Linked DNA regions of Diceros bicornis minor. The protein of the gene in region 3 interacts with the protein of the main gene of each other region in a pairwise test. Links are inferred from orthologs where the notes say so. Each region holds a gene or a part of one and is shown on either strand. Other genes may lie near its edges. The genes, in order: ARHGAP17, WAS and TRIP10.

Region 1 (7,729 bases), on a different chromosome or scaffold from region 3:
TATGGGCTAATGACTTTAAAATTAAAATACATACATACATACATACATACATGGAAACTGAATAGGCCAAACAGAACACATCCATGCCCTGCAGGCAAACAGCGTGGATCTCTGGTTTTGATAATTCACCTACCCAGAATCTGGAAGGACTAGACCAGGGTTTCTCAACCTCAGCGCTCTTGACATTTGGGACCAGATACTTTCGTGCTGTGAGGCTGTCCTGTGCATTCTAGGATGTTCAGCAGCATCCCTGGCGTCTATCTACCCGATGCCAGTAGCACCCACTACCCCAACTGCATCATGACTATCAAAAGTGTCTCCAGACATTGAAAAATGTGCCCCGGGGGGCAAAACCATCCCTGGTCAGAGCCAGTGAACTAGACCAACATCCAACTCTTAGCCTCCAGGATTTGATGAAAACATCACTCATAACTCAAACATAGGGTTTCTCATATAAGAGTTTCCCACGTGAAGTATGGGAACTTACAGCTGCTTTGAAATCAGAAACCAGGGTTTGAATCGACAGCTCCGCCATTTACTAGCTTGATGACCACTCTGAGTTCTGGCTTCCACATCATTAAATCAGGAATAACTACCATCACCTCTTAGGGTCGCTGTGAGAATGCGGTGAGGTAATACATGCAAAGCACCTAGCCCAGCAGCTTAATAAGCACCAAAGACGTTTCATAAACAGTATCCTTCCCTGGAGAAAAGACAGCCCCGTTTCTGTAGCTGGATGCACACGGGATCCAGAGTCCGAAGCCCTGGACTCAAGTCCTGCCTGGGCCACTTAGTCTGTGTGAACTGGGCAAGCCGTTTTTCCTGCTTTATAAAATAGAAATGATAATCACCAGTAGGCAAGAACTAAGCCAGGTGGTTTGGTACAGCACTTAGTAAACCAACCCACTATAGAAATGTCGATGACGATTACTATCAGATCTTTAAAGATTTCTATAAAGGAAAGGATGAGCTCTTCAACAAATCCAAAGAACTGGAACAGGGCAAAAAAAAAAAAAAAAAAAAGAAAAAGAATAACAGGGATCCTTAACCTCCAGGCCCTTCTAGTCAAGCGATTGCCAACTGGCCACCCACAGGCCAAATCTGGCCATGGACATATTGTGTTTACTCCCACATAGTGTCATGGGGTTTCTTAAATTGGTATGAAATGCCATTGAATTTTCATTAAAATCCAGATTTCAGGCTTTTCTCCAAAACTCCAAGTGTCAGCCACACTGGGCCCATATTCGCACATGCCCATTGCGTGAGACAAGCGCCCTCCAGGTCCCCCACAGCCCTCACCTGCTCTAAGTCACTCATTTATATTACCAGCCTGGCCCTCTAGGCACTCGAGTTTGTAACTGGTCTTATCTAAAGACAACCATCCCCCCCAGGGAGTACTTCACTCAGGGCAGAAACCAACCCCCATTGAGACACTCCCTTCTAGAGCCTCACCTGGATAATAAGCTCTCCAGTTAGTCCCTCAGAGTCCTTTCCTCCTGACACTTCTACCTTGTAACTAAACGTTTCTCAAGATGCTCACCCTGCCATATACCTTCCTCCACTGAGGAGCTCACCTCCCCAGAATTACCACCTGCGTTCACTGGATTATCTGCATCAAGGGTTTTCAAGGAAAAAAAGCATCTTTCTTTTCAGCAGGACTAGAAAAGACATGACATGATGTTTATTGTTTCCTGACCAGCACTCCTTCTCTCCTTCTGCTGGTAACAGCACCTCTGCTTCCCTTGGGGAGCCAGCGCTCCCCCACTCTCAGTCCCTGTGGTTTGGGAGGGGCTGACTCCATTCCCATTTCCAGAGAGAGGCATGTGACCCGGTCAGAAGCATTCAGTCAATCCTGGGACTTTGGCCACAGTGACTGGGGGAAAAGTATAATCTGTCCCTCGGGGACTTGAACTGAGGACAATGGAAGACTGGGGTCTTCTTGTAGACATAGGCTGTCTAAAAAGTGGAACCCCTGGATCCAACTCGGTCTGCAGCCATACTACTTCTGGACCCTTTGGTCACATTAGGAACCAATTAATTCCCATCTTTGCTTAAGGCAGTTTAAACTTGTTTTTCTTACAACCAAGAGATCTAGTCACTACAAGAGAAACTTGAAAGAAGTGCTCAAAGATGGAAAAAAAACCAAAAGGTTCTCCTCAGATTTTCTCCTGTGTTTTTGGTACCTCCCTCCATCTAATAAGAGCTGGGTTTTCTCTGTGTATTAGCCATCCCTCTAGAAGCACTTATCTCAGGGTATATAATTATTGTTTGGATTGCTTATCTCTTCCACAGATCTATTGAGCTCCTTCAGGACAGAAACTCTGTTCTATTCACTTTTGAGTCTTTAATACCTTGCACAATGGAACACAAGTGGAGCTTACTGAGGGTCTGTTGAATGGATGAATCAACAACCGCAGAAGAACAAAAGGAATCATCCTAATTCTCTACCTTGGGACACCCATATCTTAAGACCAGCTCATCAGCCTTGCCCCTGTGATATACACACCATCTTCTGAAACAGACTCATCCACCCATTGTCAACAAATGGCATCATGAAAACTCACTCCTCCCAGCCATTACTAATTCTCCCACAAGTCTGTCCCATGGAACCTCACTGTGGGGTTACTCACAAGGTCCTCATTCTGGGAAAAGAACACTTCATTGCAAGACACCACATAGAACTCTGTGAATTGATAGCACACACACGGCCATGCCATTCACACACGTAACTTCAATCATTAATGGGGGGAATAAGGGCGGACCTTCTTTGCTTTCCAGTCTTCATTTTGACCCAAATACACCCAGTATCCTGATTCAGATGCCCACAAACCATCTGATTCCACACAATAACAATTCTAGGCTCTCTCCTGCCTCCACTTTCCCTCTCTAGTCCTTTACAATCACTCAAGTGGAAAAAATACAAATATAACTAGGAAATCAACAGCAATAAAGCACAAATTCCCCAATAAAAACAGTTTTGACTTTGGGTGCATAATTGCCACACCCTTAATAGCTCTGTAATAGCAGCAGCTTCCACTAGCATCGAGCAATAAAGATTTTCAAACGGAGTCAAAGGGCAGGGCCAGAATGAATCACCATTTACTCTATCCAGTTCTCGTTTTCCCATACTTGGGCCCGCATCACCAAGGCAATCTAGTAATAAGTAGATTTACAATAGATTAAAATATCTGTTGAGCATCTACCATGTGATAGGAACCTCAGAGGACCCTGGCAACCAAAGGAGAAAGACAGAGCAAGGACTCTCAAGGCGTTTAGTGGAATGGAGAACACTGACAAGTGAAGAGGCGATGACCTTAGAGAAAGACAGGCGCTCCGTGTAATCCTGAAAGCGCCCAGGAGGGCCATCAAGTCTATGTTGGAGCATCAGGGAAGGCTTTTTAGAGGCAGAGACCTTTACTGGAGACTGAAGAATGAGTAGGAGGTGGCTATGGGGCAGGTGTAGTGAAAGAGGCTTCCGGAAAGTTCCAAGTAGAGGCTAAGAGCTAAGAGAGCATGGCCTTCTCTGAAAACTAAAACGAGGCAGGTAAGGCTGGAATTTAAAAGTGTGAAGAGGAAGCTTAAAAAGCTACAGAGGAAGCAGGGGCCAAAGAGACTCGGAATGGCTTTGCAGCTTTAAAAGCCTCAGAACTTGTAATGAAAAACGAAAAAGAGCAAACAGCCCTTGCCTGATACAATGTACAAAACGGCCAAAATGACAATCTGACAAATTTCTCTTGACACTCACTAAATATTGATTCCACAATGCATGTTACTGAGACACTGAGAGGGTGGAAGACTCATAAGGAATTATCTTATAATTGGCTCCCCGAGTCTTGGCTGAAACATTAGTCTCTCGACTACTCTGCCTACCTTCCTCTCAGTATTATTTCTATCATTTTCCTACAAATATCTGAAAACTGCGCACATCTAGCTTTAGGGGACAGGGATTAACTCTGGAAACAGGATAAATGCACACCAAGATAACAGAGTGGGAGACCAGAAAATTAAACAACAAAACTAAGCAAAAAGTTGAGGGAAACGAAACACTACATAGCAAATTTAGAAAACCCAAGAGGAAGTAAAAGTATTTTCATATTCACAAAAAAAGAAGTGTCCCCACGTGCTTTTGCCAAACCAAACTCCCCCTTTTACTTAAGTGTTGAAAAAAGAAGCAAAAGCTGTGGGAAATTCATACTTTCATCTCTCTTCACAGAATGAAGAGTAAACGGGTACAGCACAGCTGAGTGCCCTGGGAGAACTTGGAAATATTGACCCAGGTAATACCGCACGTGACAATCACCCGGAGAAGCTCTCAAAACCACAGATCATTCCTGGCCCCACAGCCTGACCCGCTACAAACTCTGGTCTATTCTGTCATTTCACATCAATGCCGGTCAAGCACTACAACAGGACCAAAGAAACATGGAGAAGTGTCTGCTTCCAAATCCAAAGGGAGAAAGGCTTTTTTTAAAACAATTTTTTCTTTAATTGGTGCACGGCATCTCCACATTCCTCTTTTCCCAAATCCTAATTTCTCAGCGTCAAGAACTTGCACACCTAGTTCATCTTCGCCCTAGTGTGGAGACAGCACCACCTCTAACTTCCCTCAAAGGGCGTCTGAAACCCCCTGAGCCAATCCCACTGGCTGGAAGACCCTTCACTGGTTCCTCCATCTGCACCTGGACCTGAAGGGTCTGCACAGCGGCCCGGAGAGGCTGAGAATCGCCCCCCAGCCCGGGGCGGCCCAGCCTCAGGCGCCCAGTGACGGGAGTGGTGGCCCCAGGCAGCGAGCCCGGGCAGCAGGTCTCGGGGAGGACAGGGGAAGGGGCAGGTCCCTGCTCTCCGGGGCGGGGACACGGGCAGTGGGGACCCCGAGCGGGGTACGGAGGGAGGCGGCTCGTCCGGCCACTTTCTGGGAGCCAGGCCGCGGCGTGGTGCAGCCCCGGGGCCCCGGGCCGCCTGGCCTCCTGGCCTCCGGCGGGGCCGCGGCCGGGCCCTGAGCCGCCCGCCGCGGAGGAGGCGGCCCGCCCCCCGACCCCGGCGCCCGGCCCGGGCACTCGCCTGCCCACGGTCTGGTTGGCCAGCTGCTTCATGCGGTTGAACTGCTTCTTCATGGCGGCGGCGGAGGCGGCCCGCGGGGCTCGGGGCGGCGGACGAGACGGCCCGGCGGCTCCTCCACCGCTTCCCGGCCCAGGCGGCGGCGGCGGCTCCCCAGGCCGGCGGCCCCGCCCTCCCGCGTCACTTCCAGCGCCGCCCGTCGGGCCGCCGGGGCAGGAGCGCAGGGCAGGCCCAGGGCGCGGCGTGCAGCCAGGCCTCGGCCGTGGGCCCGCGTCGGTCCCCGAGGAGGACGACCCGCCGGGCTGAGCGGGCTCGGGCCTCCGGTCCCCTAGGACCTCGATGTCTTTTCCTCATCAATGCTTCCTCCACGGATGTGAAACTCACTTCCCTGACTAGATTCAAACACGAGTTGACGAAAGCAGACACACGGCGTGTCCACGCTGTGACACCCCGTATCACAAGAGCCCCCAAACTAATCCAGGGGACCCCTCTCCCTGCAGGGCTGCTCGGGGAGGAGGCGAGGCTGTGGGGAGAGGACCCGGGAACTGTCTGGATGATGGAAATGGTCAGTGTCTTCATCAGGGTCGTGCTTATGCGCGGGTGTAGACATTTGTCAAAACACACTGGTTGAACTCTTCAGATGGGTGCCTGTCACTATGTTAATTTTACTGCAGACTTTTAAAAAAAATTGTTGCGTGAAAATCACCAGCTGTAGGACAATACGGACCGTGTGCTACACTTGGTGACATCAGAGCAATGGGTCCTCTCTTCACAGCGCGGACACGCGCACGGGGGAGGCCGTGTGGGGACGGCCGCCTCCAGAGCGGCTGTCATGGCGGCCGGCGCGAGGTGGCAGGAGGGGCGCTGGCACCGGGGACGTCACTGGGGCAGCGGGAGAAGGGGCCCGACCCCGCGGTGGGAAGTCATCGGGATGAGCGGAGGCCCCGGGTGACAGGGTGGGTGGGGAGGGTGACTGGCGACCCATTGGTGAGGTCCAGGGCCAGGCCCCGGGCTCCAGGCAGCCCCTCCCCCACCCCGGCGGTTGGCGCCCCCACCCCACCCCCACCCCGGAACCCCGTTGCCTAGGAACCCTCGGCGTGTTTGGACTCTTCGCCTCGCGCAGGCGCCGGTGCCCCACACTTGGCGGGACTGGCCGACTGGGCTGGACGCTTTGCGCCGAGCGGACCAGGTCAGCTCTGCGACCCGCGGTGATGGCCTCCTGGTTTGGTGGCCTAGGCTCTGGCTTAGGCCATTCCCTGGGGCAAGTGGGCGGCAGTGTGGTTTCCCTCACTGGACACATCTCTAACTTCACCAAAGATGTGCTGAGGAAGGGAAGGGAGAAGGCGGAAGAGTCACCGGACTCTGGGAGGACGAAGATGGAGGACGTTCAGGTAATTGTAGCATCAGAGGAGAGACTGAGAACCCAAGCTTTGAGAAAAGCTGAAAGTTTACAGCAGACCGTGGAGGAAAAAGACACAAAGCTTGCCTCCATGAGAGAAGAAAACAGTCATCTGAAAGAAGCCCTGGAACGACTGAGAGAACAGACTGGAACTGCACCTGTGGTTGACCCTAAAACCCTGGACAGGGTGACACGACTAGAATCTGAGGTCTCTCAACTGAATTTGATAAAAGGTCATCTGGAGGAGGAAGTAAAACATCATCAAAAGATATTTGAAGAACATGACCAGAGGAAGACAGAACTCCTTCAATCTTTACAAGAACAGAAACAGGAAATGGATGAACTTAGATACCAGTATGAGCAAATGCATATAAAACACACTCAGCTCTTTTCAGCCAAAGATGAGGAAATTAAGAATTTGCAAAAGACAATAGAACAAATCAAAACCCAGTTCCCTGAAAAAAACAGCACATGCAGACAAAACATTCTGAGATTTTTCTGATACCGAAAGTTCAGAGTTTTAATATGGAAAACGGAAGTGAAAAGCATGATTTATATAAAGCTGAAACTGAAAGATTAGGAAAAGGAAGAAAAGAACAGGAATGGGAGATGAAACTTCGAACTGAAAAGACTGTCCCTTTGAAGGAGCAGATTGATCAGCCATACAAAGATGGATTGGTCAACTAACTCGGATTATCCAGCAAAAAGAGTTGGAGATACAGGGTCTTGACGCTAGAATAGCTTCAGCTCCCTACATCCAGGCTGTTGGGGACCTTCAGCAGCAATTGCAAGCCTATGCTTTGGAAAGGGAACAAATATTAGCTGTTTTCAATGAGAAGGTGAGGGAAAACAGCAACCTGAAAAGAGAGTATCACAAAATGGTGGACATACTGGTTGCCAAAGAAGCGACCTCGTGAAGCTGCAAGATGAAAATACAGAATGGTCCACAATATTTGAAAGTAGTGGTCAAGGGGCAGCCTTGTGGCTTAGCGGTTATGTGCACACGCTCCACTATTGGCAGCCGGTTCTGATCCGGGCAGGCACCTACGCACTGCTTGTCCGGCCGTGGTGAGGCGGCGTCCCACATATAGCAATCAGAAGGATGTGCAACTATGAGGTACGACTATCTACTGGGGCTTTGGGGGAAAAAAAGGAGGGGTATTAACAATAGATGTTAGCTCAGGGCTGGTCTTCCTCACAAAAAAAAAAAAAAGAAAGTAGTGATCAGGATATGTCTAGAGAAACGATTCCAAACTTATCACATCATTTGAG
Region 2 (7,729 bases), on a different chromosome or scaffold from region 3:
GAAGACACCCTCGTGTCTTATTACCTACTCAGGGCTCTAGGCATGGCGACCGAGATTTGTAGGCAATATCCTCTAGAAATAAAGCAAATAAGCACAAGATATAAACAAGAAATGGTTCTCCATCTGGTGACCCCTGGGGAGTTGGCAGGGGGAAGTGATGGAGGAGCATGAGGTGGGTGTAAGTTATTGGGCATATCCTGGTTCTTGGGGGTTCTGTGGATTACTGAGAAGTAAGTCAGAACTTCTGCTCCCAGCCATGATGGACTGATGGCTCTCTTGCTGAGAACAATCAGAAAAGCTGGATTAAGATTTTTGGTCTTGTTTGTAAATCTATTTGAAGGCCCAGGAGAGCAAATTACCTTTGAGGTCATCACCTCACCAAATACTGTCTTCCAGTGCAGAAGAGCAAGAGTTGATGGGAACACATAGAAGTAAAGTAAATGAGCTCCAAATTATTAATGCAGATCAACACAGTGATTCAATAATCTGAATAATGTGAAACATGATATTAAAATGATTAATAAGGGCCGGCTCCGTGGCTTAGTGGTTAAGTGCACACGCTCCGCTACTGGCGGCCCGGGGTTCGGGTCCCAGGCACGCACTGACGCACTGCTTCTCCGGCCATGCTGAGGCCGCGTCCCACATACAGCAACTAGAAGGATGTGCAACTATGACATACAACTATCTACTGGGGCTTTGGGGAAAAAAGAAAAGGGAGGAGGATTGGCAATAGATGTTAGCTCAGAGCTGGTCTTCCTCAGCAAAAAGAGGAGGATTAGCACGGATGTTGGCTCAGGGCTGATCTTCCTCACAAAAAAACAAAAAAAAGATTAATAAATCACTATATTCCGGGGTGAGGAAACTCATTCTATTACAGACTAAAATCACGAAAATCTACTTCAGGTTTTTTATTTAGAGAAAAATAGAAATTTTAAACGTACCTGCTACTTGGAAGTAAGAACAGGAAATATACAACTTTTAAATGTTAATTTAAAAAACAACCAGCCAATGTAGCAGAGTTTTAAGGTCCCTGATGTAGACTTAAAGAGGACAGATCTAGGGGCAGAGGAAGAAGGAATAGGAAGGTGGAGGACAAAAGACATAGAGAGGGAGCAGAAGAATTGTATCTCGGCCCCCATGGGGCACTTAACAGTTTAGGAACGATTTCTCATGGAATTGGCCTCAGCTCTACCACTCACAAACTGTGTGATCTCGGGCAAGTTAGCTAAGCTTCTTTGGGCCTCAGCTTCCCGATCAGTAAAATGGGGATAACAGTAGTGCTTATCTCATTGGGTCGTTTGTGAATGTGAAATGAGTTCATAGATGTAAGGCACTTAGAAAAAGCTCAGAAAACACTGCATCAAATTAGATGTGAATCCCTCATTCATTCCTTCGATAAACATTTATTGAGCATCTAGTTTGTGCCACATACTGGAGATGTGCTTGGCCCACAGCGAGAGCTCAGTGAGCAGTGTTACATGAATGAAGGCAGTGGCCTTTTAAGGAGAAGTAGGGGCTTGCCCTAATGACCAGGCTGGAAGGCGCTCCAGGCCTGGAGGTATGAAATTGCCTGGTGAGTTAGGGCGCCATGAGCTGAGTTGTGAGGGGAGAGAGGAGGGAGGGAGGTTGGAATTGCCACATCAGAAGGGGCTTTGAGCCCAGGCCTAGGAGAGAAGCTTTGAACCTGCGGGTGTAGGAGCCATGCAGGTTTCCAGGCAGGACTGTGGGTCCCACCTTGAGATGTCCTGTTTCTTGTCAGGTACCCAGGAATGTGAGTCACACCCCAGACTGCTCAGTTCCCCTGAACTGCTGTATGTATGCCTGAAAGCTTCACGTCCCCAAACGGGAAACTGAGGCCAGGAAGGAGTGAGGACTGAGCTAGCATTCACTTGGGGAAACAGTCTGGCATTAACTAGTGAAGTTGGAGATGTGCAAACCCCACAACTCCGGATTACCCTCCTGAGAGTATGCATGCCCCTGCGGACCAGGAGATGTGCACAGGAGCCGACAGAGCAGCCAGACACAGCTCAAGTATCTGTTAACAGGAAAATATGAATAAACAAATTGTACAGCCACACAATAGAATACTATGTAGCAGTGACAATGAACAGCTAATGCTACAGGCAAATACGAATCTTAGTAACAGACAGAGAGACGGCATGGAGCATAGTCATGAAAAGCGTGCTCTCTGGCTGGACCCAGCCTGCCTGGTGTGCAATCCAAGCTCTACCACTTGCTAGCTGGGAGCTACTGGGAAAATTATTTAACCGATCTGTGCCTTGGTTCCCTCATTTCCCTCTGTCAAATGGACCCAGCAATAGTGCGCGTGCCATGGGCTGTGACGAGGATTGAAATGTCAGTATTATACAAAGAGGTCAGAACAGTGCCTGCACCACACAGTCAGTGGTACATGAATGTTTGGTAGATAAAAATAGAACGTTGAGTGGGGAAAAAGCAAGTCTCCGAAGATTACATACTTTTAGAAGTTCAAAAGCCATGAAAAGTAAACAAAATGTTATTTAGGCATTCATATATGCTATAAAATTCCTTTCTCAAAAAGGGATGATAAGCAGAAAGTAATTTGGGAGTTGCAGGAGGCAGAGGTAAGGGATGGGAAGTGAGCCGAGAGCTTGCACGTTGTCTGTTGTCTGGGTCTCAGGAGAGGGGTGGGACCCCAGGTACTCGCTATGTCATTAAAGGAAAAGCTTTAACGAAGTAACCTTTCAGCACTAGGGACCCTGAACCTCGGGACAGACTAACTGGATGCTTTGGGGAAGAAGGAGGCCGCCCAGTTCCATGCCTGCTCCCATGTAGAAGTGCTGCAGTGGCCTAGATCTTGCTGTCAGCCAATCAGAGGGAGGAGAGTCTGAGCCAGTCAGAGGGAGATGGGCCTCAGAGAGTAAGAAAGAAGCAGGAGGACGTGAGCGGGTCCAAAAGATGGGTCTAACCAGTCAAATGGAGGAGGGCCCCAGTCTGAGGGAGGAGGGTCTGAGCCTGTCCTAGGGAGGAGGAGACCAGGCCCACCGAGGGGCCCCTGGAGGACTTGTTTCCCTTGTGGCTTTTTTTGCACTTCCTGTTCCCCTGCTCACTGCGGAAGTTCCTCTTCTTACCCTGCACCCAGTGGCTGGCCGGAGAGGACAAGGGCAGGAGGCACCATGAGTGGGGGCCCTGTAGGAGGCAGGCCTGGGGGCCGCGGAGGAGCTGGGGTTCAGCAGAACAAACCCTCCACCCTCCTCCAGGACCATGAGAACCAGCGACTCTTCGAGATGCTCGGACGGAAATGCTGGGTGAGCTGGGGATCTCCTGGCCTTCCCTGTCTCCCTTCCTTTCCTCCTTTTCCTCTCCTCCTCTTCCACCTCCTTATCTTCCCCATCCTCTCCCTCTCTCCTTTCCTCCCCTTCCTCTCTGCTCATCTTCCCCATCCTTCTCCTCTCCATCATCTCTCCTAGAATTCACTTACCCCCGTTCACCAGTCCCAGGAAGATCTCAATGTCTACTCACTTTCCCTCTGGCTGCGGCTCTTCCTTCAGGGCCATGACAGCCACGGGCAAGGAAGAACCAGGTCTGGCTCCCAGACCCTCTCGCTGCCCCTGACCAGACTCCTCTGAGCCCTGCTCTCCTCTCCCAGACACTGGCCACCGCGGTTGTTCAGCTGTACCTGGCGCTGCCCCCTGGAGCCAAGCACTGGACCAAGAAGCATTGTGGGGCTGTGTGCTTCGTGAAAGATAACCCCCAGAAGTCCTACTTCATCCGCCTTTATGGCCTTCAGGTGACCCCTGCTCTCCACTGGACATGCAAACCAGCTTTGAACCCACAAACCCAGATCTCTGTCCATAGCCCTGAACCCTCGGACAGATAAGTGAACTCCTGAGCCCCAGAACCAAAGACTTCATTCAGATGTCAAACTCTGGCTTGCCTTTCTAAGTCTGTGATGACTGACCCCAGAGTCTCCATGTCAAGATCTATAAACCCCCAGATATTAGTATACCTCCTAAATTGAATCTGTTCCACAAACTCCAAAAACATGAGCACTATATTTTTACCTGAACCTCAAATTTGTTCTAAACTCAACATTTTGGTTCCCAGAAATCTTCCATCAAAACTCCTGACCCCTAGATGTTTGCGTAGCTCCTAAGTCATAAATCATAAACCCTAAACCTAAATATGCCATTGTCTTGAACTCCAAATCTGTCCTTTTAAACCCACAGCATGGACCCCAGAATTCCCGTATTAAAACTCCTGAACACTCAAATACTGAAGCAGCTCCTAAGCCAAAAATCTGTTCTACAAACCCCCAACCTGAACTCGCCAGGCCTAACGCCCAAATTCATCCTTGTAAACCCGTAAAGATGGACCCAGCATAACCACATCAAGATCCCAGGGCCATCAAATATTGACCAAACTCCTAAGCTGTAACTCTGCTCCACAAACCTCAATTGTACATAACTTGGCTGAACCCTGCCCCCCCAACACCCAAATCTACATGTCTGAACCCCCAAATCTCAACTCCAACTCCCAATACTGGAGCCCTACCTGCCCAAATGAAGGGAGTCTATGAATGGGCTCAGTTTCCTAGGACTGGAGTCCAAAATCCTCAAATTCAAGCTCCAAAGTCCCACATCTAGGGCCCTGAACCGCAAATACAAATCTCTTACTGCAGTATCTGACTCCCATATTGTACCCCAACCCTCCACATCTGACACCTAGACCCCCAACTCTCTGATGCTGAGATGGAAATCTCCGAATCAGATCCTGGGGCCCTAAATCTGGACACTATGCTCCCTGCCCAGATAACTGAGGCCTGCCACCCAGGGCACACCTCAGTGCCACTGTGTTCCCCACCCTGTACCTCTCCAGGCTGGCCGGCTGCTCTGGGAACAGGAGCTGTACTCACAGCTAGTCTATTCTACTCCCACTCCCTTCTTCCACACCTTTGCTGGAGATGTAAGTGACCACCCAACCCCTGGGCCAGAGTTGGGGTGTGGGGAGGAGATGGGAAAGGTGTGGGGGGCCTGGAAGTCTGCTGACCCCAAGGCGTGTACAGGACTGCCAAGCAGGGCTGAACTTTGCAGACGAGGGCGAGGCCCAGGCCTTCCGGGCTCTGGTGCAGGAGAAGATACAAAAAAGGAATCAGAGGCAAAGTGGAGGTGAGGAGGCCTTGGGGGAGGAAAGGAGGTGGGCAGAGGTGAGTGCAAGAGTGGGGAGCTGGAAAAGCCCTTCTCATGGTTCTGGTTCCCAGTCCACCTGTCTCTCCACAGACAGGCGCCAGCTACCCCCACCACCAGCACCAGCCAATGAAGGTGAGTCCTCTAGTGCAAGTAGGGGTAACAAGAGGCTAGCCCAGGAACCTGTGGCAGGGTTGTGATAGCTCTCTACCCATTCCATCTTCCCAGAGAGGAGAGGAGGGCTCCCACCACTGCCCTCGCACCCAGGTGGAGACCAAGGGGGTGAGTGCTGATTCTTCTCTGTGTCTCTTGGTGGATGGGTGGGTGGGGGGTGGATGGGTGGAGTGGATGGATGGATAGGTGGGGAGTGGGTAGATGGATGAGTAGGTGGGTGGGTGCAGAGATAAGTGAGTGAATGGGTGGGTAGATGAGTGAGTGGGTGGATGAATGGGTAGATAGAAGGGTATGTGGGTGGATGAGCAGGTGCATGGATGTAGCTGTATGGGAGGATGGATGGATGAATGGGTGAATGGATGTGTGGGTGGATGGACTGGTGGTGGATCAGTGGTTGAATGGGAGGATGAATTGACGGGAGGATAAAAATATAGATGGATTGCTGGTGGATAGAGGGTCGAATCAGGGGATGACTTGATGGGAGGATGAAAATATAGATAGATGTATAAGTGGATGTATAGATGTATAAGTGAATGGGTGCGTGGATAAATGGATGGATGATTGAGTAAATTAGTGAATGAGTGAGTGAGTGATTGAATGAATTGAACAATGAATAAATGAATAAGTGACAAAATTTCAGTCAGTGAAAAAGCAGTGATTGAATGAATGATTGAGTGAATGATTGAGTAATTTACTAATTAGTCAATGAGTGAATGAATGAGTCAATACTTAAGTGATAAGCATGAGTAATGAATCAGTGAATATATGAATGGTTTGCAGGACTCACTCACTTCTCAATAAACCTTACTTGGACCCCTCACCCACTTCCTCCATGACCATCAAACACATCAGTTCCCCCAACAGTCTTCTTGTCTCTTGTCCATATGCTTTGGTTGATAGGTAAGTGGGTCAATGGTCCAGTCACTCTATTTTCCCCACAGGCCCACAAGCTGGCCCGCTGGCCCTGGGACTGGTGGCAGTGGACATCCAGAACCCAGACATCACGAGTTCACGATACCGTGGGCTCCCGGCACCTGGGCCTGGCCCAGCTGATAAGAAACGCTCAGGAAAGAAGAAGATCAGCAAGGCTGATATTGGTGCACCCAGTGGATTCAAGTGAGAACCTCTCCCTAGTGAGCCCACAGATCCCTGGGAGTGGGGAATAGATGAACATGTGGACAGGAGGAGAGCTGAGTGGAAGGATGGGCAGATGGATGGGTGGGTAGGTGCAGGGCTGGGACTAGGGGAGAGGCAAGTGAGGCACCAAGGTCGCAAACTTTATGGAGGTGGTCTCTCTCAGGCTCATTCAACTGTAATTCACAACTCCAAGAGTGAGTGCCTCCTTAAATTTTGCACCCTAGGCACCTCACTTGCCTCACCCTAGTCCCACCCTGAGTGGGCTGGTGGGTGAGTGGATGGGTGGGTAGAAGGATAGATGGATGAATGAATGAATGGGTGGTTGGAGAATGAATGGATAGGTGGTTGGATGGATGCATAGATGGGTAAATGGGAAGTGGGTGGGTAGATGGATGGGTGAGTGGATGAGTGTGTGGACAGATGGATATATAGATTGGTTCAGGTGGCCAGATATGTGGGTGAATGGACAGTTCAATGGATAAATGGTCGGAAGTGTACGGTTGAGTGGGTAGACAAATGAGTAGATGGATGGAAAGGTGGGCACATGAGTAGATGGGTGGGTGGCTGCACAAGTGTGTATGAGGATAGATTGGTGGACAAATGGGTAAACAGATGTGTGCAGGCAGATGAGTAGAGAGACAAACGTATGATAGATCACTGGTGGATGGACGGTAGATAAAGAGATGGGTGGATAGATGGGTACCAAAAACCATGGGCCCCTTCGAATGCCATAACTCCTGCTCTCACTCATTCGCTAATTTATTCACTTATGATTCATTCATTAATGGCCCCTCAGTGTCCCTCTGGGCAGGGAGGGCAAGAGCGCTTCACTAGGAAGGGAGGGAAGGAAGGACAGTGGGGCTTCACTGGAGTCTCCTCACCTCCCCCAGACATGTCAGCCACGTGGGGTGGGACCCCCAGAATGGATTTGACGTGAGTAATGGCAAAGTCCCCTGGACCCTACTCAACTCCCACTCACCCTTCCATAGTCCCCTGCTCAGACCTACCCCCAGACCCCACCCTTCCCACACCCCTCTCAGATCCCTCTCTGGGATGGACCCAATGATGATGTGTGCCCCTTCCCTCCCCACCTTATTCCCCCACCCCTGCCCTTGCCTTTTTCCTCTGGGCAGGTGAACAACCTGGACCCGGATCTGCGGAGCCTGTTCTCCAGGGCGGGAATCAGTGAGGCCCAGCTCACCGACGCTGAGACCTCCAAACTTATCTATGACTTCATTGAGGACCAAGGCGGG
Region 3 (7,729 bases):
GCTCCATGAATGCTAGCTACTCATTTTGCCTGCAGGAATTGGGGCTGTCTTGTTCACTGGCATGCTCTCTCTCCCCCACCCCACCCCAGCTCAATGAGATATTATTATTCCCATGTTGCAGATGAGGAAACTGAGGCTCAGAGAGGCCAAGGGACTTGCCCAAGATCACATGAGTGAGAGGCAGGGCTAGGATGTGAATCCAGAACTAGGGGGGCCTCGGAAACTTGTGCACCTCGCCCTCTTCCAGCAAAGTCCTCAAAGCCCCTCACCAGTGGCTGTTGCTCTTCCGTCTTCTGGAGGCCCAGCTGCAGGAGGCTCATGTCCACCTCCAGGGAGCCGTTGGTGTAGAAGCCAAAGTTGTTCAATGGGATATCTGCTCGCTTCTCCCCCTGCCGGAGATCAAGGATGCAGAAGCAGCTCAGACTTCCCACCAGCCCAGCCCCAGGGTTGGGGCACGAGGCTCCCCCGAGGGCCTCGGCCCCCTCCTGGTATCCCCATATTTAGGACAGGTCCAAAGGGTGACAGGAGAGGCTGAGAGGGCCTTCCTGGTGGCCGAGACCCCAGACCCATCCCAGGCAGGGACAGGGTGGCCCCTGATCCTGTGGCCACTGTTCTGAAAGCCCAGGAAGAGAAAGCCTGGGGCACCTGGAAGTCCCCCCACTGAGTGAACACCGGCCAGAGAGCAGAGTTATTCATCTCGGTGTGCCTGCCCCCACCTTCCGGAAAATTTTTAAATTCCATCTGAGCCCCCAGCGTGCCGAGATTTCAACTGAGCCCCCAAGATCCCAATGAGTGCCTAGAGGACCCCATTCTAGAACCCCCAGGGTCTCCCATGGGCGAGGCCAAGGTCCCTAGCGCCCCCAAACCGATCCCGAGAATTTGGAAGGCCAAAAGTCAAGGCTCCCGGCACATGAAGCCCCGCCCCCGACGGGCACCGTCGACCGGGCAACTCCATCGGGAGGACAGAGGGGGCTACCAAGACGAGCCCACTCCGGGCCCGGAAGCGGGGGGCGCCGGACCGCTCCATCCCGCGTAAGGAGCAGGGGAGGTAGGATGAGACCACTCCAAGCCAGAGGCTTCTCCGGGACAAAGCTGCGTCCCCCACCCCGGACTGCAGCGCAGCGGGACTCACCGTCAGCACCAGCCGGTGGATGCGCCCAGAGCAGCCGCCACATAGCAGCAGCAGAAGGAGCCGCTGCCCCCACTCAGCGGGGCTCCAGCGGGCGAGCCCCCTCCTCTCGCTCACTGCCATTTCTGGAGCCACCGCCTCCCCTAACACCGCCTCTGACTCCCCTAAGCCCGCCTACCCGTGAGCCAATCGCTGCACGGTGGGGCCCGACCCTTCGGCTTTGTCAGCCCGTCCAGCCAATCAGCGATCGTCTCCTCGCAAACCCGCCCCCGCACAACGCCAAATGGACAACACCAGCTCCGAATAGGAGTGCCGATACCGCTTAACCCCGCCTCCCCTTTCACCAATCACTAGGAATATTGTTCCGGATGTAATTTGATGAACAGTCCATCTAACCAATTGTGATGGATCCGATATCCGGCCCTTGAAGCGGAATTCCTCAATCCACGCTTAACTGACAGACCGATCCGAGACTACATTACCCAGAATGCAGCGCAACAGGGCAGTCAATAAACTTCACTTCCCAGTATCCCCAAGGACCGACATCCCCCGTCTTATCCCTGGGATGTGGCTCCCAGCCAGAACTGAGGCTTTTGGTAAACACACGCATCTGCTGCGGCCTGTCCTGTTCTCCTAATCTTCCTGATCCACCGAGAGGCCTAAACCTGGCCCCAGGCTAACTCTTGACCATAGGATGACCTATGACCTCAGGCTGAGTCCCCAGCCGTAGGCGGAACCTCCTATCCCAGAGTGAGGCAACTGGAGGCCCACCTGCAGATCCCAGGCTGGGCTTGATTATGGGCTGAACCCTGACCCCGGGCTGGGCTGAACAACCTCTCTGCAACTCCGCCCAGACCTCAGCCTGAAACCCAGACTCCCCCACCTCTTTCTGACCTTCGACCTACACTGAGCCTCAGTCTCTGGTTGAGCCCCCTACTTGGACTGAGCCCTGACCCTTAGGCCCTAGTTTGAGTCCCAGACCCCCAACTGGATTGCTGAACCCGCTGCTAAGCCTGCGACCCCATTCTGAGACCCCATCCCAGCTGTGGTGGCGATCTGGGATGAATCCGAAATTCGGTTTGAGTTGGAGACCAGGGTTGAGACCCTAATCCCAAGCTGAGTCCCTGACTCCATCTGATCCCCAGCCTCTGGAGCACAGCCCACTTTGCACCTTGAGGTTTCCTAGCTCAGAAGCCACCAGCAGGGGGGGCCAGGTCCCCGCAGAGCCATCTGTCCCAGTGTGAGCTCCAGGGAGCTATCCTCCTAGGTTCACCAGTCTGTGTACTGGGAGCCTGGGGGCTCAGAGCCTACTCCTCCCCGGGGACCTGGGGGCCCCAGCCCCAGCAGGGCGTCTGTCACCTCTGTAGCCACAAAGTACCAAAGGCAGGAGAAAGTGAGGGTGGGAGCTGCTGGGACCTCTGCCCTTTCATCCCAGTGCCTCAAAGGGATTAACAAAGTGTGAACAGACTTTTATGAGGGAGGCGACAGACTTCCAAGCCCCAGGGCTCGAGTATCTGGGGGGAGGTGCGGAGACGGAGTTAGAATCCCAGAGTCTGTGCAGACAATTAAACCTGATTGGGCCTTAATGGATGCGACTGGAAACTGGGCAGGTGCAAGCGTGAACTGGATGGGAGCTGGGGAAAGGCCTGGGCCGGGCGCTCCAAGGACGGCCCGTCCTCAGTTTCCCGGCGATTTTCGGGGGGGTGGGGGGGGGGAGAGGCAGGATGCGGTGGGGGCGCTAATGGACCCGGCCTTGGCAGAGGCGCGTCCTGGACAGGATCGAAGTCCTCCCATCCGCCCTGTGGCCGGAGGGACCAGACCATTAGTGAGACGAGTGTAGAGCTCTGGAGCCGGGCCGGCCCGCAAGAGCCGGGTGACCTCAGGTTCTCTCTGCGACGGGGTGGGGGAAAGACTTCTTGGGTTGGAGTTTTAGTGTCTTGGCCCTTTAAGGAATGGTTGACTGGAAAGAGGGAAGGAGGAACAGTTCGGGGCGGGGCAGGGGTGGGGAGGATAAGAGGTGCCCGGGGGATTTCGAAAATGGGTGGGGGTCCTTTAAGGGGTCGGTCCAGTGGCCACGTTCCTTTAAAAGGGGGCGGAGCGTCCGCCGGGCCCCGCCTCCTCGGGGGCCCCACCTTTAGGGCGCTGTGCTGGGTTCTGCGGGGTGGAGGCGTGGCTGAGCCTTTGGGGGCGTGGCCTAGCGGGGAGTGGGCGGGGTCGGGGCGGGGCCGGAGCACCGCCCTGGGCTGAGTCTCCCGGCGGGTGGCGGCGGGCGGCGGGGACCGGGCGCGGCTGCGGCCTCGGCGGGAGCAGCATGGACTGGGGCACCGAGCTGTGGGTGAGTCCTATCGGTCCGGCTCCGAGCTCCCCCTTCCTGAGGTCCAGACCCCCCAACTTTGCCCCTGTAGTAGCTTAGCGGGGGCTCCGCGCCTTCGCTTCCACCGATCCTTGGAGTCTCCGCTCTCCGCCCTCTCTCGGAGTGTCCCAGGGCGTTTCAGGACGCCCGGGGGCAAAGGGCGACCTTGCAGGAGCGGCGTAGGGAAACTGAGGCACGGGGTGCAGAGTGAGGAGGGCCCAGAAGAAGTCCTGGGACCAGGCCGGGGCGGCCGGGCGAGGTCACCTATTTTGAGCGTCCTGGCTGGGCCAGCGGCTTATCTTACGGCCCCTGGGTCCCTGCCCGCCGCCCGCCTGTCTGGCTGGTGGGGGGGAGGGGACCCTCTGGCCACTTGCAACCCCACGTGGGACCTAGAAGTCCTGACCGCCCTTTCTGTCGCCTCTAATCAACACCTAGGGGCTTGGGACCCTCTGGGGGAGGAGGGGGCTGCAAGGCTCGGCCTCAGCCCCCTCCCCCTGCCCGCCCCAGGCCAGGGAGGGGCCGCCCCCAGGCCGCCTCTAACCTCAGCTCAGGAAGCCCCAGGAATTTCCCCCTATCCTAGCCGGGACCTCTGTCCCCTCCTCTTTCTGGAGGCGGTGGCATCCCTGGGTTCCTGGGTGTAGCGAGGTAGCCAGATCCTCCCTCCCTCAACACTGGAATTTCTTTTGGAGGTGCAGTGGAGTCAGTAGGGGAAACTGAGTCACCCATCGGGGGACCCGGCGAAGCATGGCGACCTGGGGGACCTGGTGCCTGCTGCCTGGCCATTCTGGGGCCCCCAAGCCGCAGGGAACCCTGCCCCTCTGGCCCTGACTCACGCCGGGCCGGCCGGATTTTCCGGAATCTGGGGGGAATTAGAAGAGCTGGGGCAGGGGGAGTGGCCCTGCCCCATTCCACACCCCGCTTGGCTGTCCGGAGACGGGGACCCTGTCGTCCGGCTGGGGCCCCGCCCCTGTTCCCTGGCTCTTCCCGGGAAGGGGAGGGGGTTCCCGCCGGTTTCCTGTCTCCCCCCGCGCTGCGCCGGGGCGGGGCCGGGAAGTCACTCCTTCTCGGAGCTGGAGCCTCGAGGCAGCCGGGGCGCCTGGTCCGCAGGCCATGGGGTCCCAAGGTCTTGACCCCGGCCCTTCCTCGTCCTCCTTCCGGCCAGGATCAGTTTGAGGTGCTCGAACGGCACACCCAGTGGGGGCTGGACCTGTTGGACAGATACGTGAAGTTCGTGAAAGAGCGGACAGAGGTGGAACAGGCTTATGCCAAACAGCTTCGGTGAGACCCTAGGGTGGGAGCGCCCTGGGGCTTGGGGGAGCCGTTGGAGGGCTGGGGGCTCAGCCTTCCTGTCTCTCTCTCCCCTTAGGAACCTGGTGAAAAAATATTTGCCCAAGAGACCTGCCAAAGATGACCCTGAGTCCAAGTAAGGATGGAGAGGGGATGCAGGGCTAGATTTTGGGGTGGGAAGGGGGTGTGGGCTCTAGTTCCTCCTCCTCGGCTGAGCCTCCCAAGCAAGTCCCTCGCCTTTCACCTCAATTCCTACCTAGAGATAAGAGCATGGTTGCAGGGTCTGGCTACCTGGATTGGAATCCTAAATCCACTACTTTCTACCCTAACTGCTTTGGGCCATTGACTCAAGCTTCTGTTTTCCCCCGCCTAATACATGAGGGAGACTCCAGCAGTTACTAAATGATAGACTCTAGGCAAGTGAGTTTGTGCCTCTGTTTTCCTCATCTGTGAAATGGGGATGATGACGATGACCTTGTAGGGCTCAAGGGAAGATTAACCGAGATAATGGGTTAAAACAGTGCCCAGTCTGTAGTAAGTGCGTAGGAACATTTCACTTTATTCTGCATCCTGGGTTCCAGAATCCAGAAAGCTCTAGACATCAAAAGTTTTTCCAGCAACTTGATTGGAGGCAACCTCTGACCTGAACTGACTTGATGGTAATTACGTTCATTACGGTCGTCGTTTTTATCCCACTTAGTGTGAATATTAATACCTCTCACTGCAAAAATATTTATGGTGTTTGATTGCAGGATGCCGCCCAACCACTGGGGTCATGCATAAAAGTGGTATAAGCATCGTATTCCCTTGCTAAAACCTGAAAAATTCTGAGTTCCGAAATGCATCACTCTGGGGTTGGGGGTCAGGGATGTGGACCCGAATTTATCTTTGCTTCTGAATGAGTGTCCGTCCCACCTGTCCCCAGGTTCAGCCAGCATCAGTCCTTCGTGCAAATTCTACAGGAGGTAAACGACTTTGCGGGCCAGCGGGAGCTGGTGGCTGAGAACCTCAGCGTCCGCGTGTGTCTCGAGCTGGCTAAGTACTCGCAGGAGATGAAACAGGAGAGAAAGATGGTGAGTGATTCCCGCCCCCCACCCCTGGGACTTCTGGAGGGTTCCTGCTGCAACCCAGGTGAGCTTATGGCTTCTCTTACCATAGCACTTCCAGGAAGGCCGTCGGGCCCAACAGCAGCTGGAAAGTGGCTTCAAACAGCTGGAGAATGTGAGTTTGTGGGCATGGAGGGTGGTTCTGGCCCCTGATCCACGGACCTTCCTCCTTTGTCTGTGGGTTTCCAGTGTGCCCTTTGTCCCACATTTGCTAGGTGACTTCCTCCATTCCCTGAAACCGTGGTTTCCCACCTCCCTACCTCGGGGACGGGGGCTCCTTCATTGTGGTTCTGTCCCCAATACAGAGTAAGCGTAAATTTGAGCGAGACTGCCGGGAGGCGGAAAAGGCGGCTCAGACGGCTGAGCGGCTAGACCAGGATATCAACGCCACCAAGGCTGATGTGGAGAAGGTGCTTGTGGGGTCTGGGACAGGCTTGGGGGTCAGTCAGGGTGAGACGGGGCCAGAACCTGGCAGGAACCCCCTCCCCGATATTCCTCAGGCCAAGCAACAAGCCCACCTTCGGAGTCACATGGCAGAAGAAAGCAAAAATGAGTACGCGGCCCAACTACAGCGCTTCAATCGAGACCAGGCCCACTTCTATTTTTCCCAGATGCCCCAGATATTTGATGTGAGTGCTCCAAGCCCCCAGCCCCACCTTCCCAAAAAACCCCCAAATTCACCAACTCCTACCCATTTGTCAAAACCCCAGCTGCAATGTTCCAGTCTCTAAATTGAAAGGGAATTAGAAACAAATAGGAACAGTGAGCTCTGCCTTTACTCAAGCTGTTTTTTTCTGCCAGGGATATCTTTCTTTCCTTTTGAAACTCCTATTCATTCTTCAAAGCCCCAGCACCAACAACCGCTCTGAAGGGTCTTGAATTTCCCCTCTTCTGTTTCAGCCGCGTATTCCACTCTCTGCTCCAACCCTGGGACTGGCAGTAACTATGCTGGGTTTGCTTTTTCTTCAAAGCCCTGGCTCCGTTGTCACCTCCTTTGAGAAGCATTTCCCAACTCCCTAGGCAAGAGGGCGGTCCTCCAAGTCCCCTCTGAAATCTCCCCAGCCCTGTGTCTCTCCCCTGACCTCACTGGGCTGGAAGTCTCTGTGCTCGATTCTGTGTTTTCCCCACCAGACTGGGCTTGGGGCTGGGGCCAGTGTGGATCTCCATCATGTTTGCGGAGTGACTCATTCTGCTACCGCCCCCTCCGTTAGCACTTCTGTCCCTGTCCCCACAGAAGTTGCAAGACATGGATGAGCGCCGGGCCACCCACCTGGGGGCTGGGTACGGGCTCCTGTCAGAGGCTGAGCTCCAGGTGGTACCCATCATCGCCAAGTGTTTAGAGGGCATGAAGGTGGCTGCGGATGCCGTGGATGCCAAGCATGTGGGTGCCTGGTCGCGGGCCAGTGACCACGGGGTGGGCAGAAGGAGGATCCCGAGGGCTAGACACCTGTCTTACCCCTCACTGTCCCCCCGCCGTCCCCTCCCCGCAGGACTCCCAGGTCCTCATCGAACTGCACAAGTCAGGCTTTGCCCGCCCTGGCGACGTGGAATTCGAAGACTTCAGCCAGCCCATGAACCGCGCGCCCTCAGACAGCAGCCTGGGTACCCCCTCCGATGGACGGCCTGAGCTCCGAGGCCCGGGCCGCAGCCGTGCCAAACGCTGGCCCTTCAGCAAGAAGAACAAGGTGGGGGCCGGGGCCCTTGGGGTGGGGGTGTGGGTGTGAGCAGGGACAGCGGGGGCCCCCACTGAGTCAGCCGTAGCTGCCGGAACGCTGAGTCCCGGGCAGGAATTTTCCTCTTGGCTGCCAGCCCGGGCTGGAGGGAAGGAAGGCCGCCGGGCGATTGGCCTGGGAG

What was found.
Region 1: the proteins of TRIP10 (region 3) and ARHGAP17 interact in binary tests that used the Homo sapiens proteins (3 or more experiments, as listed by UniProt). The link is inferred for Diceros bicornis minor from reciprocal best matches to the Homo sapiens genes TRIP10 and ARHGAP17.
Region 2: the proteins of TRIP10 (region 3) and WAS interact in a two-hybrid assay, tested with the Homo sapiens proteins (2 studies listed by BioGRID). The link is inferred for Diceros bicornis minor from reciprocal best matches to the Homo sapiens genes TRIP10 and WAS.

What each region holds. Positions count from the first base shown.
Region 1 is NC_080765.1:27,005,821-27,013,549, reverse strand, and holds the start of ARHGAP17 (rho GTPase-activating protein 17), read right to left. Parts: upstream 5,174-7,729; 5' UTR 5,115-5,173; coding exon 5,062-5,114; intron 1-5,061. UniProt on the Homo sapiens protein: Rho GTPase-activating protein involved in the maintenance of tight junction by regulating the activity of CDC42, thereby playing a central role in apical polarity of epithelial cells.
Region 2 is NC_080781.1:41,993,836-42,001,564, forward strand, and holds the start of WAS (actin nucleation-promoting factor WAS), read left to right. Parts: upstream 1-2,930; 5' UTR 2,931-3,155; coding exon 3,156-3,287; intron 3,288-3,628; coding exon 3,629-3,769; intron 3,770-4,857; coding exon 4,858-4,944; intron 4,945-5,044; coding exon 5,045-5,147; intron 5,148-5,258; coding exon 5,259-5,300; intron 5,301-5,393; coding exon 5,394-5,447; intron 5,448-6,280; coding exon 6,281-6,455; intron 6,456-7,366; coding exon 7,367-7,409; intron 7,410-7,609; coding exon 7,610-7,729. UniProt on the Homo sapiens protein: Effector protein for Rho-type GTPases that regulates actin filament reorganization via its interaction with the Arp2/3 complex. Important for efficient actin polymerization. Possible regulator of lymphocyte and platelet function.
Region 3 is NW_026691615.1:1,651,771-1,659,499, reverse strand, and holds the start of TRIP10 (cdc42-interacting protein 4), read left to right. Parts: upstream 1-3,404; 5' UTR 3,405-3,440; coding exon 3,441-3,464; intron 3,465-4,644; coding exon 4,645-4,760; intron 4,761-4,848; coding exon 4,849-4,905; intron 4,906-5,694; coding exon 5,695-5,842; intron 5,843-5,927; coding exon 5,928-5,990; intron 5,991-6,180; coding exon 6,181-6,285; intron 6,286-6,375; coding exon 6,376-6,504; intron 6,505-7,109; coding exon 7,110-7,256; intron 7,257-7,365; coding exon 7,366-7,560; intron 7,561-7,729. Other genes in the region: protein GPR108, read right to left, coding at 270-389, 1,133-1,252. UniProt on the Homo sapiens protein: Required for translocation of GLUT4 to the plasma membrane in response to insulin signaling. Required to coordinate membrane tubulation with reorganization of the actin cytoskeleton during endocytosis.